Canis lupus familiaris: one gene and its partner. The protein of the gene in region 1 purifies or fractionates together with the protein of each later gene. This does not show direct contact. Links are inferred from orthologs where the notes say so. Each region holds a gene or a part of one and is shown in the gene's direction. Other genes may lie near its edges.

Region 1 (7,677 bases):
AGAGGTTGGGTGTCTCCCTCGCCAGCTGCGCTCCCGAAGCCCGGCCTTGTTGGAAGAGGTGGTAACTGTACTGTGTGCTTCTGTGGTGAGCGGGCGGGTGATGGCAAATTCTGTCTGCGCTTCCAGTTTAGAGCCCAGTGAGAAACTGCTTTCTCTCTGGAGTCCAACCCACTGAAAATGCTGAGTGCTGGTCTCAGTTGACTTCGAGGGGTGACTTAACTGGTGGCTTCATGAGTCTCGGATCTCATACCTTCATGAACCTCGAACTTTGGATGGTGTGTCTCCCCAGATGCCACCCAGCACATTCACCGTTTACCTTCTTTAGTTCTCAGAGTTTTTAGGACTTTGGGCTTTCCTTATACATATGCGTGTGCACAGTCTTCTCAGTGAAGCCAAGCCCTTTGGGGTTAGAAGTGGGCTGTGTCACTTCTTGCCGTCCAGGTACTGCTGCTTGCTGTTGGGGGGCTCTGGTCCCTGTCAGAACTTGCCCAGTGGTCATAAACCTGACTGAGCTTGAGAACTGCCTGGAGAGTTGGGTTACCTGGGTCAGGCGGTACTCCCGGTAGTTTCAAGGCCCAGTCAGAGGGCCACGTTTGGAGAGACCTGGCCGGGCCCTGTCCTTCCGCTGTGGATGTGGAATGGCTGAGGAAGGGCCTTCAGCCTGCCAGGCGGGGCTGCTAAGTGGTACCAGCTTGTAACTCTGTGTCTTTCTCCCTGGTAGCACGTCGATGGCAGCTTCTCTGTGAAACCTTTAAAGCAGAAGCAAATTGTAAGTCTGGTAGGAGAAACATTGTGACCTCTTTTGATATTAAAGGCCCTCAAACACACTCAATGTCCAGAGTTGTCATCTGGGCTCTGGAAAGTCCGAATCTGCCCCTCTGTGCATGCGTGCGCCCACCACATCCCAGTATTGACTCGTAGCCCAAGTTTCGCCCAGCTCGGTGAGGAGGGTTCGACCTCCTTAGGGCTAGGTGGGAAATGCAGCTCAGACTGCTTTTGAGCACGGTGACGTGTGGTCACTCTTGTGCAGCTGTGATGGGTGGTTCAAAGTGGCTTTTCCCTGGGGAGGGGGAGGGTAGGTGGAGAGGGTATGCTTGCCTGGCCCGAGTGGAGGTTGGCTCCATGCCCCTCGGTGAGCAGAACCTTGGGCCCCCAGCCCCTGCCCTTCTGCCTGTGTCACTCACTGGGCTGGGCTGGGCCAGGTATGCTCCTCCTGGCCCCGGGCCCACTCGCTGAGGTGCAGGTGGGCAGAATTTCAAACCACACCTGCTCTGGGACCCAGGCCTGGCCCCTGGGAAGTGGTGTTGGGCCAGGGGGGTGCAGCGGGGCTTCCGAATGGGGCCGGCCAGTGCCCGGATACCTCTGTGTTCTCTAGGTGGACCGGGTCAGCTACCTGCTGCAGGAGATCTACGGCATCGAGAACAAGAACAACCAGGAGACCAAGGTTTGCGCTGGTGGCGACCTTGGCTGGGACTGTGGGTGGACCTCACTCTCATCTTCCCTTCCACCTGCCCGGGAGCCGGCTCCTGGAGGGGCTTGCCTGAAACCCCCAGCCCTGGCCCTGGCCCCGTGGGCTAGTCCCCTGTGTGCCTTCCCCAGGGGGCCCCAGGACCCCAGACTCCAGGTTTCTTTAACTTTTCAAAGGCTTTCACAGAGAAGGGCAACCTGGGTGGCTGGGTCAGTGAGTGTGCAGCCCTTGATCTTGGGATTGTAAGTTTGAGCCCCATGTTGGCTGTTGAGATTACTTAAAGATCATAATAATAGTAATGAATGAATAAATAGAAGAGTTAACAGAGCCTATGGGGCATTTTATTCTTTTTCCAACAAATTCCCTGGCTTATTAACATCTTTGGGTTGCCAGCCATTGTGTGGACAGGGACAGCCTGGTGTGTGGGGCCCCTTCCCACCCCCTTGGGGTGAGCTCTAGTGGCCCCCGCCAGCGGCACCCCCCCCCCCAGGCCCCCAGCCCCGAGCCCTCTGCACACCTGTGGCCAAAGCGTGTGGCTGACGGAGCTGTGGTCTGGCGAGCATCGGCCTGTGCCTTTGTCATCATTTGAAAGGCACGAGTGACACTGCCATCTCTTAAACGTTTCTGGAAGTCTTAAACGCAAGCCTCTGTGACAGCTGGGACCGGCTGAAAGCCGGAAGTCAGGGCACTTTGGTCAGGCCCTTAGTCTCGGAGTGTTCTCTGCGTGCTTCATGTGTCAGCACCCCCTTCCACAAACAGCCTGGTGGTATGTGTTGTCACCTTCAGTGGCCATGTGGCGTCTGTCATGCCTGTTCAGTGCCCTGATTTTACAGATTGCACACAAGCAGCATTGCCGTTTGGAAACCAAGGGGCAAGGCTGGGTTCCGGTAAAACTTGATTTACAGAAACAGCTGGTGGGGCTGTAGTTTGCTCTTTTACAGGGTTGTCGTCTCTTGATCCAGACACTCATTTTGATTAGACAAGGTGGACTTGTCTGATTTTTTTCAGTTTCAACCCAGTATGTGGGCACCCTCTGTAAGACATGCCTGTACTGTGGCCTTTCCACGCTGCTCTGTGGTTCTGGGGAATAGGAGGAAACCTGGGTTTTCTTGGTTTGGTGTGTGTGTTGGGGGCAGGCACGAGCCGGGTCTGAGCTCTGGGCCGTGTCCCCTGAAGATGGGAACACCTCCCTGCCCTGGCCTCTGCCTGTGGCCCTGGGGAGCCCGCTGACACTCGGACCCTCCGTGTCCCCGCAGCCCTCGGACGAGGAGAATAGCGACAACAGCAACGAGTGTGTGGTGTGCCTGTCGGACCTGCGGGACACGCTGATCCTGCCCTGCCGGCACCTCTGCCTGTGTAACTCGTGTGCGGACACGCTGCGCTACCAGGCCAGCAACTGCCCCATCTGCCGGCTGCGTGAGTGGGGCCAGGGCTAGGGGGCTGCGGGCTGTCGCCTCCTGCCCCGGGCACAGCGAGTGGGACGTGTACTTGGTGCAGGTGGTCAGTACCCCTGGCAACCGTGCTGGCACATGTGCGGCTCACGTCCCCGAACATTAGACTTCGGGAGTTAACGGCAGGAACGGTGCCAGGGCAGGTGCTTGCCGTGAACTTGGAACGGGACAGAAAGTGGCCTGTGAATCACACCTTTAAGTGTTACGTGGACAATATTTTGATTGTAAAAAAACAGTCCTGGTGAGGTGGACAGCCGACAGGAGTTCGTTTCCAGGAGCACTCCAGACGTTTTCTCAAAGTTAATTCTGAATCAGGTGTTCGTCCTCCAGTGGAAGGAATCCAGACATTCTCAGGGCAGAAGATCCCGCTGGATCGAAATGAGCGTCCAGCCAGTGGGCGGGTCCCAGCAGTGAAGGGCCAGGGCTGTAGGGGGAGAGCCCGCCCTGGACTCCGGGGGTTTTCAGTTGTCGGGAGCTGACGGCTTTTTGGAGAAAGTCTTCGTGCCATTTCACACCTTGGTGTGCCTGTCAGCCTCCAGGGCAGCCTGGGGGTACCCGTGCCTCAGCCCGCGCTCCTGTACCAGCATCCGGCTGTGTGGCCCGGACTGCTTTACACGCTTGTCTCGTCAGTATCTTGGGGCTCAGAGGGAGCCTGTCCAGGGTCACAGCTGGTAAGGGGCAGGGTTGGGTCTAAACTAGTGGTGAGGTGTGTGCAGGGGTCGTGGGGTAGGCTGAGCGTGTGGAAGTGGAGGGGGAGGCTGTGGGGTCTGGGCGGTCCGGAGTCCAGCCCTGATGAGACCTCAGGGCTTGCAGGGGTGGCCGCAGGGGGTCTGTGTGCTGGCCCTAGAGGGACAGGCAGCAGGCCGGGTAGCCTCTCCTGGGTGAGGAACAGGCTGGGAGCAGGAGCTGAATGCCAGCCTTCCCCAGGGGCCCTGTGTCTGGTGTTCTCAGGTGCGGCATGGTGTGACGGCCCAGGGGCCCAGATGGGCTAGGGCATGGGCCCCTGGCAGGTGTGGGGGGCACTTGGGCTGGGTGAGCTGGGCCAGGGCCCTTGTCTCTGAGGCCTGCAGCTTGGGGCAGCCACCATCAGCGCTAGAGATGTGGGTGTCACTAGCAGGTGCTGGGACAGTGTGCAGCTGTTTACCGTGTGTGACCTGTGCTTTTCATAAACGTTACGCTGTTTTTTTTGTCTTTAAGATTTTATTTATTTATTCATGAGATAGAGAGAGAGAGGCAGAGACACAGGCAGAGGGAGAAGCAGGCTCCCTGCAAGGAGCCTGATGTGGGACTCGATCCCAGTACCCTGGGATCACACAGTGAGCCAAAGGCAGATGCTCAACCACTGAGCCCCCCAGGTACCCCAGCATTACACTCTTATTAGGGACACTGATCAGGGTGACCAGTAGCTTGGTCCTAATTTATTTTCCCAATTCTTGCTGCTTCTGGTTTTGTGGTGTAGAGATTGTGCTGTTAGGGACATTCGCATATGTATGTTTGCCTGTCCTTGGTGTAACTTCCGGGAGGAGATACCTGGTCGCCAGGAATGATGCCGCCACCACATTCAAGGGTGTAGTCCCGGGTTTGGCATGTGTGAGGCTGGTGGCACCCTCCCTGCTGCCCTGGAAGCTCCACCTGAACTGGGTAGTGCACTCCTGGGCTCCCGTCTCCCCTCTGGGGCGGTTTGGTGATCACTCTGTTTTGCCTCTGATTTGGAAATGTGGCTTGTCCTAGGACCACTGTGGGTGGGTGGGTGGCCGGTGGCCCCGGGGCTTAAAGGGCCTCCGTGGTTCCGGAACTGGCTGCCCCTTGCCTGATGGGAGCCCTTCCCTCTGCCACAGCTTTCCGGGCCCTTCTGCAGATCCGGGCAGTGAGGAAGAAGCCGGGAGCCCTGTCCCCCGTCTCCTTCAGCCCTGTCCTGGCCCAGAGCATGGACCACGATGAACATTCAGTAAGTGCCTCTTTCTTCTGTGCTGTGGAGTGGAGGCCAGAGAACAGGGGGTTTCTGCAGGAAGCCCCTGCCCATTTTTAGTCTCTCAGTCCGGACGCCCTCAGGCTTTACCCTTCATGTTAGGACAGCTTCGGCTTCCCAGTGGGGCCGCATTGGTCAGAGGCCCTGGGCCTGTGGCCAGAAGGAAGGGCATGGCCAGGCTGTCTGCTTCTCACTGCCTGCCGGCTCTCTGGGCCTCCGTCCTCATCTGGCCGAATGGGGTGACCCAGGCTGGGCCCAGGGAGCCCCGGGTCCTGAGAGTATTGTTGTTTTTGCCGAGAGCAAAGGCCATCTGACGGCACGCAACCCTCCATTGAGTTTGAATGTCTGTCACCATCATTCTACCAGGCCAGATAGCCAGGGCCACCATATGGGTCCTAGGAGCTGAGGTCTCACCCAGTGGGTGACTATGATCTGTCCTCTCTGTCCACTGAGGGGGGCTGCCCAGCCTGGACACAGGAGAGCGCCTTGGCAGCCACCTACCTCACTTGCTTCCTGGGAAACCGCGAGGTGAGCTTGTTGCACGCAAAGGAGGGGAGACAGACTCAGGCTTCAGGGAGAGAGATGGCTGTCTGGGTCAAGACATCGGCAGAAGATGGAGAGAGATGTAGAGACACAGAAAGAGAAGCAGAGACAGACATGGATAGAGATGAGCAGAGACACAGTCACAGAGACATGGGGAGAGACACATGCAGAGAGGCACTGGGAGAGACACAGAGGAGACACAGACGGGGATGGGACTAGAAAAGTAGGTGCCGAGACACGGCAGAGAGGCACAGCAGAGACAGGAGGGGCTGGCCCAGGTCTTGAGCTCCCAGCCCCGCCCCCGCCCGGCCACAGCCATTGTCTGCCGGTGAGTCTGATGTTGGGATTCAGTGATTCTCAGAGGGAAAGGACCCAAACCCTGTGGTTCGCACACCCGCAAGATGGGCTTCTGCGCTGGTGAGTGTCCCATGTTGGGCCTGTGCAGTGTGTGTGAATATTGGGCCAGTGTTTAAAGGCTGGAAATTTTCCATAAGACTCAGATTTCTGGCTTCTCTTTCAAAATCTGAAGGTCTGGTCTTGCAGCTCAAGCTGATGCAAGGCTGCCTCGGAGGTGGGGTCCCCATCACCCCCACTTTTCCAGGCCAGCCTGGAAATACACAAAATACACTTTTCCAGTGTATTTTGCCTGCTGGGCCCCTGTTGGCATCAGGGCTTACTACTCCCGAAACGGCCCTCCAGTGTATTTAATATTGGGCTTGACTGAGGAACACGGAACATTTTCTCCAGCCATGCAGTTTTAGTAGAGAGAGAAGTTAGCAGTGAGATATGATTTGTTCCTGGGAGAGGAGGGGTGCTCAGGGGTGGACGGTGGGTTTTCTTGTTGCCTGTGTGTGCCCTTCCCAGGCTCTGCCCTGGAGTCTGAGCGGCCGGCCTAACCTTCCCATGTCTGTCCCTCTTATCCAGAGAGTGCCGAGATGGCTCTCACACTACAGGGCGGCCCTGGGTTTGGGTTGTGAGCTTCCCATGCTCCAGAGGGCCGGTGCCTTCCCCTCCAGAGAGTTAAGATAGCCAAATAACGGGCTCTGGTTCTCCACCATGTTCCCTGAATGAGCAATTTGCACCTAGTGGTGTGGAGAACCCAAATTTTCTTCAGTGAGACCTTTACGGTCATTGAGGAATGGGGGTGATTTAGGGCTGATTTTTCTCCCCAGCTTCCTTTAGGAGTTGGACATTGGTGATGAGTTTATGAGACAGTGGCAGACCTCATAGAAGTACGGGGTGGGGTGTCCCTTTCTCGTGCCCAGCGGGGCCCACTTGTGAGGAGCACCTGGCTAGCCTCCTGCCTGTGCTGGCCAGGACCTGCTTCTCGGGGTAACCCAGACGACGGTGGCCAGTGGGACAGGGATGGGCTCTACCAGCGGCATTGCTTCTGGGAGTTGCAAAGATGCCCAGGCCCAGGCCCTACAGAATGTGCACTTGGCCAGGTCCCCAGACCTCATGTGCAGGTTCAGTTTGCCAGGCACAGGCTCACGGCACACCCAGAGGCCAGCAAGCCCGAGACACGCCCCAGCCAGCCAGCTCCAGTGCGGTTTGGGGGATGGCAGTTGTAAAACATATGATTTTTATCTTGACAGTGTCCCTTTAAAAAATCAAAGGCGCACCCCGCCTCACTGGCCAGCAAGAAACCTAAAAGGGAAACAGTAAGTGTGTTTGGCCCTGTGGCCACATCTTTGCCCCGCACCCTGATGATTAAACCAATGACAAGTATGGGAAATCATTTTCACCCCAGGCTAACGTGTTTGGTTAATTTAATCTGTCAAATCCACTCTCCCCAGTCCCGGCGTCCCTGCCCAGGAAGGGAGTTTTGTGGAACAAGCAAAGCTCAAGGTCTGTCGGCAAAAAGCCAGTGTCTTGGATCCCCGCTGCCAGGCGGCAACAGCGCCGGCCTCGGGCTGCCCCTTCTCGCCAGCTCTGCTTCTGCCCGTGGTCCCCAATGGCCTCGTTTCCCTTTTTTTTCTTGCTGGCAGTGGAATGATGTTGGAGGTGGAACTCACTCACCTTGCTTCTAGTTTTTGCAAACAGTCTTCCTCGCGCTTGCTTGTCATCCTGCATCCCCTGCTCTGTCCACCTTGGATGTTAGCTCTTTGGGTCAAGGACTTGGTTTCCTTGCATTTTCCCTGCATCTCAGGGAGCAGGCGGGGGCCTCTGCCTGGAGCCTCTACTGACCCCCATGGCCCCTCAGCAGAACTTAGAGCGGCGGAGGTCACGGGAGGGCCAACCCAGAG
Region 2 (6,820 bases), on another chromosome or scaffold:
GGAGCACATGCTGCTTACATGCTCTGGGCCAAGATCAGGTCTGCTGAGCATTGGTATAGAGGCCCTTCTCCCAGGAGGTCCCACACAGCATTCTAGACAGTGACATGGAATCACCTGTTGGGGGAGATCTGTTAAGTTATCCTGTCCGAAGTTCCCAGCTAGGGAACTCCCAGCATCTGGGAGTTAACAGAAGCCTCTGCTCTGAACGCCCATGGTAAGAACGGTGCCCTGCAGATATGTTGATGTTGGTCAGTTACTACCCATGCTTAATTCCTTGTCACCATAACTGGATTTGCTGGGTGGGATTGGGTATGATTGAGATAATCCCAGACTATCCTAGATCTACATGTCTCCCACTAGGGTATCCTGCGATAAGCTTCAGCCAACAGGATAGGAGTCTACTGGGTTCCCCCAGAAAGGGGTTGGTCCTCTGATAATGACAGGCAAGCAAGAAGAACTTGGTACTCTGCATCATCCAGCCTTAAATACAACCAGATGGGATTGTGATATCCGGAGCTGCAGCAGCCATTTTACGATCAGGAGTTGCTGACCCTCAAAATGAAGAGCCAGTGTCCTAGAGATAGGCAAAGAGAGGCTGGGCCCAGACTGGTGAAACTGCTCACTTCTGGGCCTGCTGTCCCAAGAGATTATTAAATCATCAGTGCTCAGCTAAACCTCTTGGGTTAGGTCATTACTTGTAGCTCTGTTTCCATGGAGATGAAAAGACAGCCACCTTTTTCAAATCTGAACATCTGCTCTGAAGGCTTGCCTTGCCACCCAGTGTCCAGGCAAAGGTGAATTGGCTCTTCCCAGGCCTCCTGCTGCCCGTGGACAGATTGCTAATAGTTTATGCTCTTTCCCACCAAGTCAGGCCCTACCTCAGGGTCTTTAGGGCAGACACCACAGGTAGGGCACACAAGGTGTTCCCCTCACTGAGTTCAAAGACTTCATGGTGACTCAGCTCTGGGCTGGGTCTTCCTGAGATCCCACGATGACAAGATCCAGGAGGAGCGAGCTGTATACCCCACATGGCTGCTGGGGGGGGTGGAGGGTAGGAGGGCTGCTGTGTCTCCTGACTGGCCCTGGGAGGACCTCCATGAAGGAAGCAGGGCCTCCTGGTGTGGCCATGGCTAGACACTGATCTCACTGGTCTCTGCAGTGAGAGGCCATTTACACTTCAGCTCCCACATGAAGGTCATTTACACATTGAATGCTCCCATGTTGCGGGCCTCGTGTGCAACTGGCACTCAACTGTTCTTGGTACTGGAGACAGCCACTGAGCGACTCTTGTTCTCTCAGCCTCCTCACAGATGGGTCAGGCCCATCCTCTCATGTTGATACCCTCTCATGTCCACCACCTGTCTCCTGGCCCTTCTCCGTGTCTCCCAGGAGCACTAGAGATCAAGTTGATAGAATTGGCCTTCAGATGATCTGTGATTTCATTTAGACATTTCCCTCATAACCATAACTAATCACGAAGTTGAGTGTCTTCTTCCCAAGAAGTCCCCAACGGGCACATCAGAACCAGATGGGGAGTCTCGAGGCCTCACCAGGAAGAGGTTATCCAGTTCTCACGCTCTTTGAAGTCTCATGCGGGGGCGGGGGGGGTGGGCACATCCGTCTCAAAGGCCTCATTTATGGAGCTGGAAATACCGTCCCTGCAGTGTGCTGACACAGGAGCTGGGGGCGAGGTGCCCCCTCTAGAGGGAAGGTGGTCCTTGGTGATGGACAGCTGTGGTGCTAGTCCCAGGACCCTTTGCTCCCTCTGGGGTTCTCCCATCAGGACAACAGAATGGGAAGATGCCAAGTCCACAAAAGGCAAAAAGCTGGAAGGGGAAGCTCAGTGTGTGGGCCTATCCTGTGGCTGGTGCCTGTGGGTGTGGGTTGTCTTCATCTCCTATAGGGGGAGGCGGGGGTGGTGCTCGTGTCCTGTCAGCAACAGAGGAACAAGTCCACTCCATGTCACCATGTGGACACACTTGGCCTATGTCCACCATAAGATGGGACAGGAACAGCCAGCAAGTACTGTCTGTAACAGACGGGAGATTCCCAGTGTGGTCTGTATTCTTGAAGACCGCTACACACACCACAAGGATATCTGAGTGCAAAGAAAGGCACAACCTGAATTCTAAAATAGGTAAAATTGGCAGCCCTGGTGGCTTAGCAGTTTAGCGCCGCCTTCAGCCCAGGGTGTGATCCTGGAGACCCGAGATCGAGTCCCACGTTGGGCTCCTGGCATGGAGCCTGTTTCTCCCTCTGCCTGTGTCTCTGCCTCCCTCTCTCTCTCTCCCTCTCTCCCTCTCTCTCTGATGAATAAATAAATAAAATCTTAAAAAAAATTTTTTTAAGTTTTTTAAAAATTAAAAAAATAAAATAGGTAAAATGAACCAGTGGTCAGGGAATGACTCCCAGGGTGAGCGGATGCCCTAGGTGTTCTCGGGTAATTCACATTTTATTTTTTGGTCTGGATGCTGCTTTCCTGGCTGTTAAGGTTGGGACATCCACTAACCTGCATATTTACAGTTTGTGTACTTTTATGTATGATGTACTTCAATAAGAAGCACCGTCCAAGGGGGGGAAGCCGCCTTGCTGAGCGATGCAGATGTAAGGGATGATATTTATGAGTGGTTATGACTGTGTGATCACACATGTGGGTGTGCTGGCATCAGAGTGGATGAGAGCGTGGGCTTGAACAGGAATGTCACAGATGACACTGCAGACACTGCAACCACCCTCCCAGCTTCCTCTTACGTCTCCTGCACCACCACCACCACCTCTACCCCCGCCACCTCCATCACCTCCACCACCTTCAACTCTATCTCCGCCACCACCACCAAGCCAGTCCCTTGCCTTTCTTGTTGCCTCAGGTTTTCTCCACCTACCAACAAATAGATCTCCGCCCCCCCCCACCCCCGCCAGCCTCCACAGAGGAGAAATCACAAAATCACAGTCTTTAGTGAGAAAGTGCTGGGAGTAGGTGCCCACAGGCCACTCTTAGCTTCCCTGTGGCTTGCTCAGTACACCATGTGGCTGGAGACCCGAGGTTTGCCCTTGAAGTGGTTTCTTATGCAGAGGAAGTGGTGGCTGTCGGGGTCCTCCCCCTCCCCCACTGTAGGATGAGGCAGAGCAAGGGCCTGACCCTGACGTGACCAGGATGCCCTCCAGCAGGGCTCAGTGAAGGGGGTGGGGGTCCTCAGGAGCAGGGGCTGCCCTTAGTGTCTAACATGAGGTAGGGAGTTAGGGGTTCAAGCTGGGGATGAGTGGTCAGCAGCCAGTGACTGTATCTAGGCAGGGTGGCATCAGGTGGGTGGTCAGAGATCAGACAGTTCCCAAGAGGAGGTGCTGTTTGCAGTATATTTAGGGAACCCCACATAGGCAGACACTGGGAGCGGAGCCAGGTGAGGGGGCACACATCCAGCTGAGCCCCAGCGTCCAACGTCCTTGGAGCCAGGATAGCCCTGGGTGCCATTTGTGCTGCCTGGAGGGTGCAGTGGGTTCTCTCCGATGCATGCATCCCGGGTGCACGCCCATCACGTGGCCACCTCAGGAGGAGGGGCTCCGGAGCCTTTAAAGATGTGGAGAAAGGCTTCATTCTTTCTGGAGTGGGACCTCAGCCCCCTCCAGGCCTGGGAAAGCGGGAGCCCTGAGCCGCCATGAGGCAGCAAGAAGATAGAAACGTACGTCTGAACCTGAGCAACTGCCCCTCCATGGAAGAGGTGGGGAGGTGGGCTGAGGGTCGAGGGGTCCAAAGAGACTAGAGGGTTGGGGTCCGGGCTGGGAAGCGACTGCTCTGTCAGGAAGCTGGACTCTCTCTGGCTGGTCATTGCTGAGCTGACACTTGTACAGACCGGGAGAGGGCAAATGTGAGGGCGGCCCTGGAGGACAGACAGGCCCTGCTGGTGGCACCATGAGCTGAGCGAGACACCTGAGAGCGAGGACCCTGCTCTGCTCCCTGCTGGGACCATGTCTGGGCAGGGCCCCCAGAGAAGGCTGCTGGGCTCTCTCAATGGCACCTCCCCAGCCACCCCTCACTTCGAGCTGGCTGCCAACCAGACCGGGCCCCGGTGCCTGGAGGTGTCCATTCCCGACGGGCTGTTCCTCAGCCTGGGGCTGGTGAGCGTTGTGGAAAATGTGCTGGTGGTGGCCGCCATTGCCAAGAACCGCAACCTGCACTCGCCCATGTATTACTTCATCGGTTGCCTGGCTGTGTCCGACCTGCTGGTGAGCGTGAGCAATGTGCTGGAGACGGCCGTCATGCTGCTGGTGGCGGCAGGCGCCTTGGCTGCTCAGGCTGCTGTGGTGCAGCAGCTGGACGACATCATTGACGTGCTCATCTGTGGTTCCATGGTATCCAGCCTCTGCTTCCTGGGCGCCATTGCCGTGGACCGCTACCTCTCCATCTTCTACGCGCTGCGATACCACAGCATCGTCACACTCCCGCGGGCGTGGCGGGCCATCTCCGCTATCTGGGTGGCTAGCGTCCTCTCCAGCACGCTCTTCATTGCCTACTACAATCACACGGCCGTCCTGCTTTGTCTTGTCAGCTTCTTTGTAGCCATGCTGGTGCTCATGGCAGTGCTGTACGTCCACATGCTTGCCCGCGCCTGCCAGCACGCCCGAGGTATTGCCCGGCTCCATAAGAGGCAGCACTTCATCCCCCAGGGCTTTGGCCTCAAGGGCGCTGCCACACTCACTATCCTGCTGGGCATTTTCTTTCTCTGCTGGGGCCCCTTCTTCTTGCACCTCTCACTCGTGGTCCTCTGCCCTCAACACCCCATCTGTGGCTGCGTCTTTCAGAACTTCAACCTCTTCCTCACCCTCATCATCTGCAACTCCATCATTGACCCCTTCATCTACGCCTTCCGCAGCCAGGAGCTCCGAAAGACTCTCCAAGAGGTAGTGCTATGTTCCTGGTGAGGCTGCAGGCTTGAGGCCAGGGTGCTGGGCAGAGGGGGGTGGTGATTGATACCCATGTGACTGGGGCAGTCACTTGCAGAAAAGGACAGATGAGCTGATCTGTGGTGTGGTGGATGCATGGACCCTCTGGGGCCAGAGAAAGGAATAAACAAAAATCTCCAGGAGTTGCTGTGGAGAATGGAGCAGGCTGGGGAGATGGTGGGGCCACAGACACGAGAGCCAGGTCCGGGACTACTGGACAGCATCTCTGGCTGCTCCTGGAGAGTTCCTTCTCCACCCAGGGACCAGGCAAGGCCTGCACACACCCACCTTTGCTGCCAGGTCTGGAGATTTGGGCCCCTGCCCGTTGGGATGTGAAGTCTCAGTGTTGGTAGCATGACAAGTACTGCTCTCGGGAAGGCCTCCAGGAAAAGGACTTTGTGACCAGCCAGTCCTCACAGGACTGCTTCGGGAAGAAGTGAGCTCCTGTTGCAGGCACAGGGACTGTCTACAGGAGCTGCAGTGGAGGGTAGGGCTGATCTAAAGTCCACTGGTAACCAGAGAGCTGGTGACCCAACTGTGTGCACATGCACCGCATGTACCCACCAGACAGTGTTGGTCAGTGCCTGCTCAGGCCAAGGCAGAGGTCGTCAGCCCGAATCAGTGACTGGTGCCCAGGGTCTCAGGGCTGGGAAGCTGGGAAGCAGTCTGGTAATAAATGCTGTGTCTGGTGCAGACACATCACCATCCGCTTTGCGTCCTTTGGGAAATTGCTTGCAACTGGAGGGGCGGGGCGGGGGGGCAAGGGCGGGGTTGAGGGTGATGAACAGGGAGCTGTGAATCCCAGAAACCAGGGTGGGTCTGCCTAGCTGAAGAAGCCACAGCCCCAGAGCACCTGAATGCCTGAGCCCCTGCCCAAGGAGAGAGTGTAGGGGTCCCCTGATCACACCCACTCTGGGCCTGTGTCTTAGTTTTCTCTTCCTGGTGTAAACCCCAGCTCAGAACAACCAGAGTCAGAAGCAGCAGGAATGGTATCCCTGGGTGGCTCAGCGGTTTAGCACCTGCCTTTGGCCCAGGGTGATCCTGGACCCACATCGGGATCCTGCAGGGAGCCTGTTTCTCCCTCTGCCTATGTCTCTGCCTCTCTCTCTGTCTCTCTGTCTCTCTCTCTCTCTATCATGAATAAATAAAGAATCTTAAAAAAAGAAAAAAACAGGAACAGCAGCTGCCCCCACCCCACCCCCGCCCCCAGTCACCTCCAAGGTGACATGACTCAGCACTGTCCAGGCTGCCCTTGATGGCAGCAGAAGCAGGACCACCATGACCCATATGTGACCTCCATGTCTGTTCTGAGGAACACAGCAGGGCCCCCAGGGTGTGCCAGGGGTTGGGGGCTGCTTTCCCCCACGACTGCCCTCCTGGGAGAGGGAGGTCAGTGCTCAGCCAGCTCTGGGAAGTGTTCGAGGCGAGGCCTCCCAGAATGGAGTGGGACTGTCCAAGTCCAAGCCGTGAAGGAGTGCACGTCGGGTAAACTGTGCTGCCTGTTGCCGGAAGCCCTTGGGTCCTCCTTCTGTGACAAACCTGGGTTTCTCATGGAAGAGCCCACCTGGTTTCCTCCACAGATACTGAGTGTACAGTCGACCCCCTTCCTGATACAGGTTCGGCAGTGGCAAGGGTGATGGTATCAGCCAATTTGAAGGCAGGTCTAGTAATGCCTAAAGTCTTCTGCAGCCTCTGGCCAACCACCCCCAGCACTGCCCCAGCCAGCCTCCACCTACGCTGGCAGCTTCAGCCCAGACTGCTGGCCTCAATGCCAGGAGCTGGTTCCCGGCAGGGCCAGCCTTTGCTGGGAGACAAGACAGTGAGTCAGCCTTGAACCTGGCACCAGAGCCCTCTGGGGATGGAGAGAGAACTGGCCTGGCTC

What was found. The genes of interacting proteins can lie anywhere in the genome.
Region 2: the proteins of MGRN1 (region 1) and MC1R purify together in Homo sapiens (affinity purification with western blotting; 3 studies listed by BioGRID). This does not show direct contact. The link is inferred for Canis lupus familiaris from reciprocal best matches to the Homo sapiens genes MGRN1 and MC1R.

What each region holds. Positions count from the first base shown.
Region 1 is NC_049227.1:37,018,625-37,026,301, reverse strand, and holds part of MGRN1 (E3 ubiquitin-protein ligase MGRN1), read left to right. Parts: intron 1-721; coding exon 722-769; intron 770-1,375; coding exon 1,376-1,444; intron 1,445-2,724; coding exon 2,725-2,884; intron 2,885-4,757; coding exon 4,758-4,867; intron 4,868-5,341; coding exon 5,342-5,416; intron 5,417-7,026; coding exon 7,027-7,092; intron 7,093-7,677. UniProt on the Homo sapiens protein: E3 ubiquitin-protein ligase. Mediates monoubiquitination at multiple sites of TSG101 in the presence of UBE2D1, but not of UBE2G1, nor UBE2H. Plays a role in the regulation of endosome-to-lysosome trafficking.
Region 2 is NC_049226.1:64,184,787-64,191,606, reverse strand, and holds MC1R (melanocyte-stimulating hormone receptor), read left to right. Parts: upstream 1-3,963; coding exon 3,964-4,917; downstream 4,918-6,820. UniProt on the Homo sapiens protein: Receptor for MSH (alpha, beta and gamma) and ACTH. The activity of this receptor is mediated by G proteins which activate adenylate cyclase.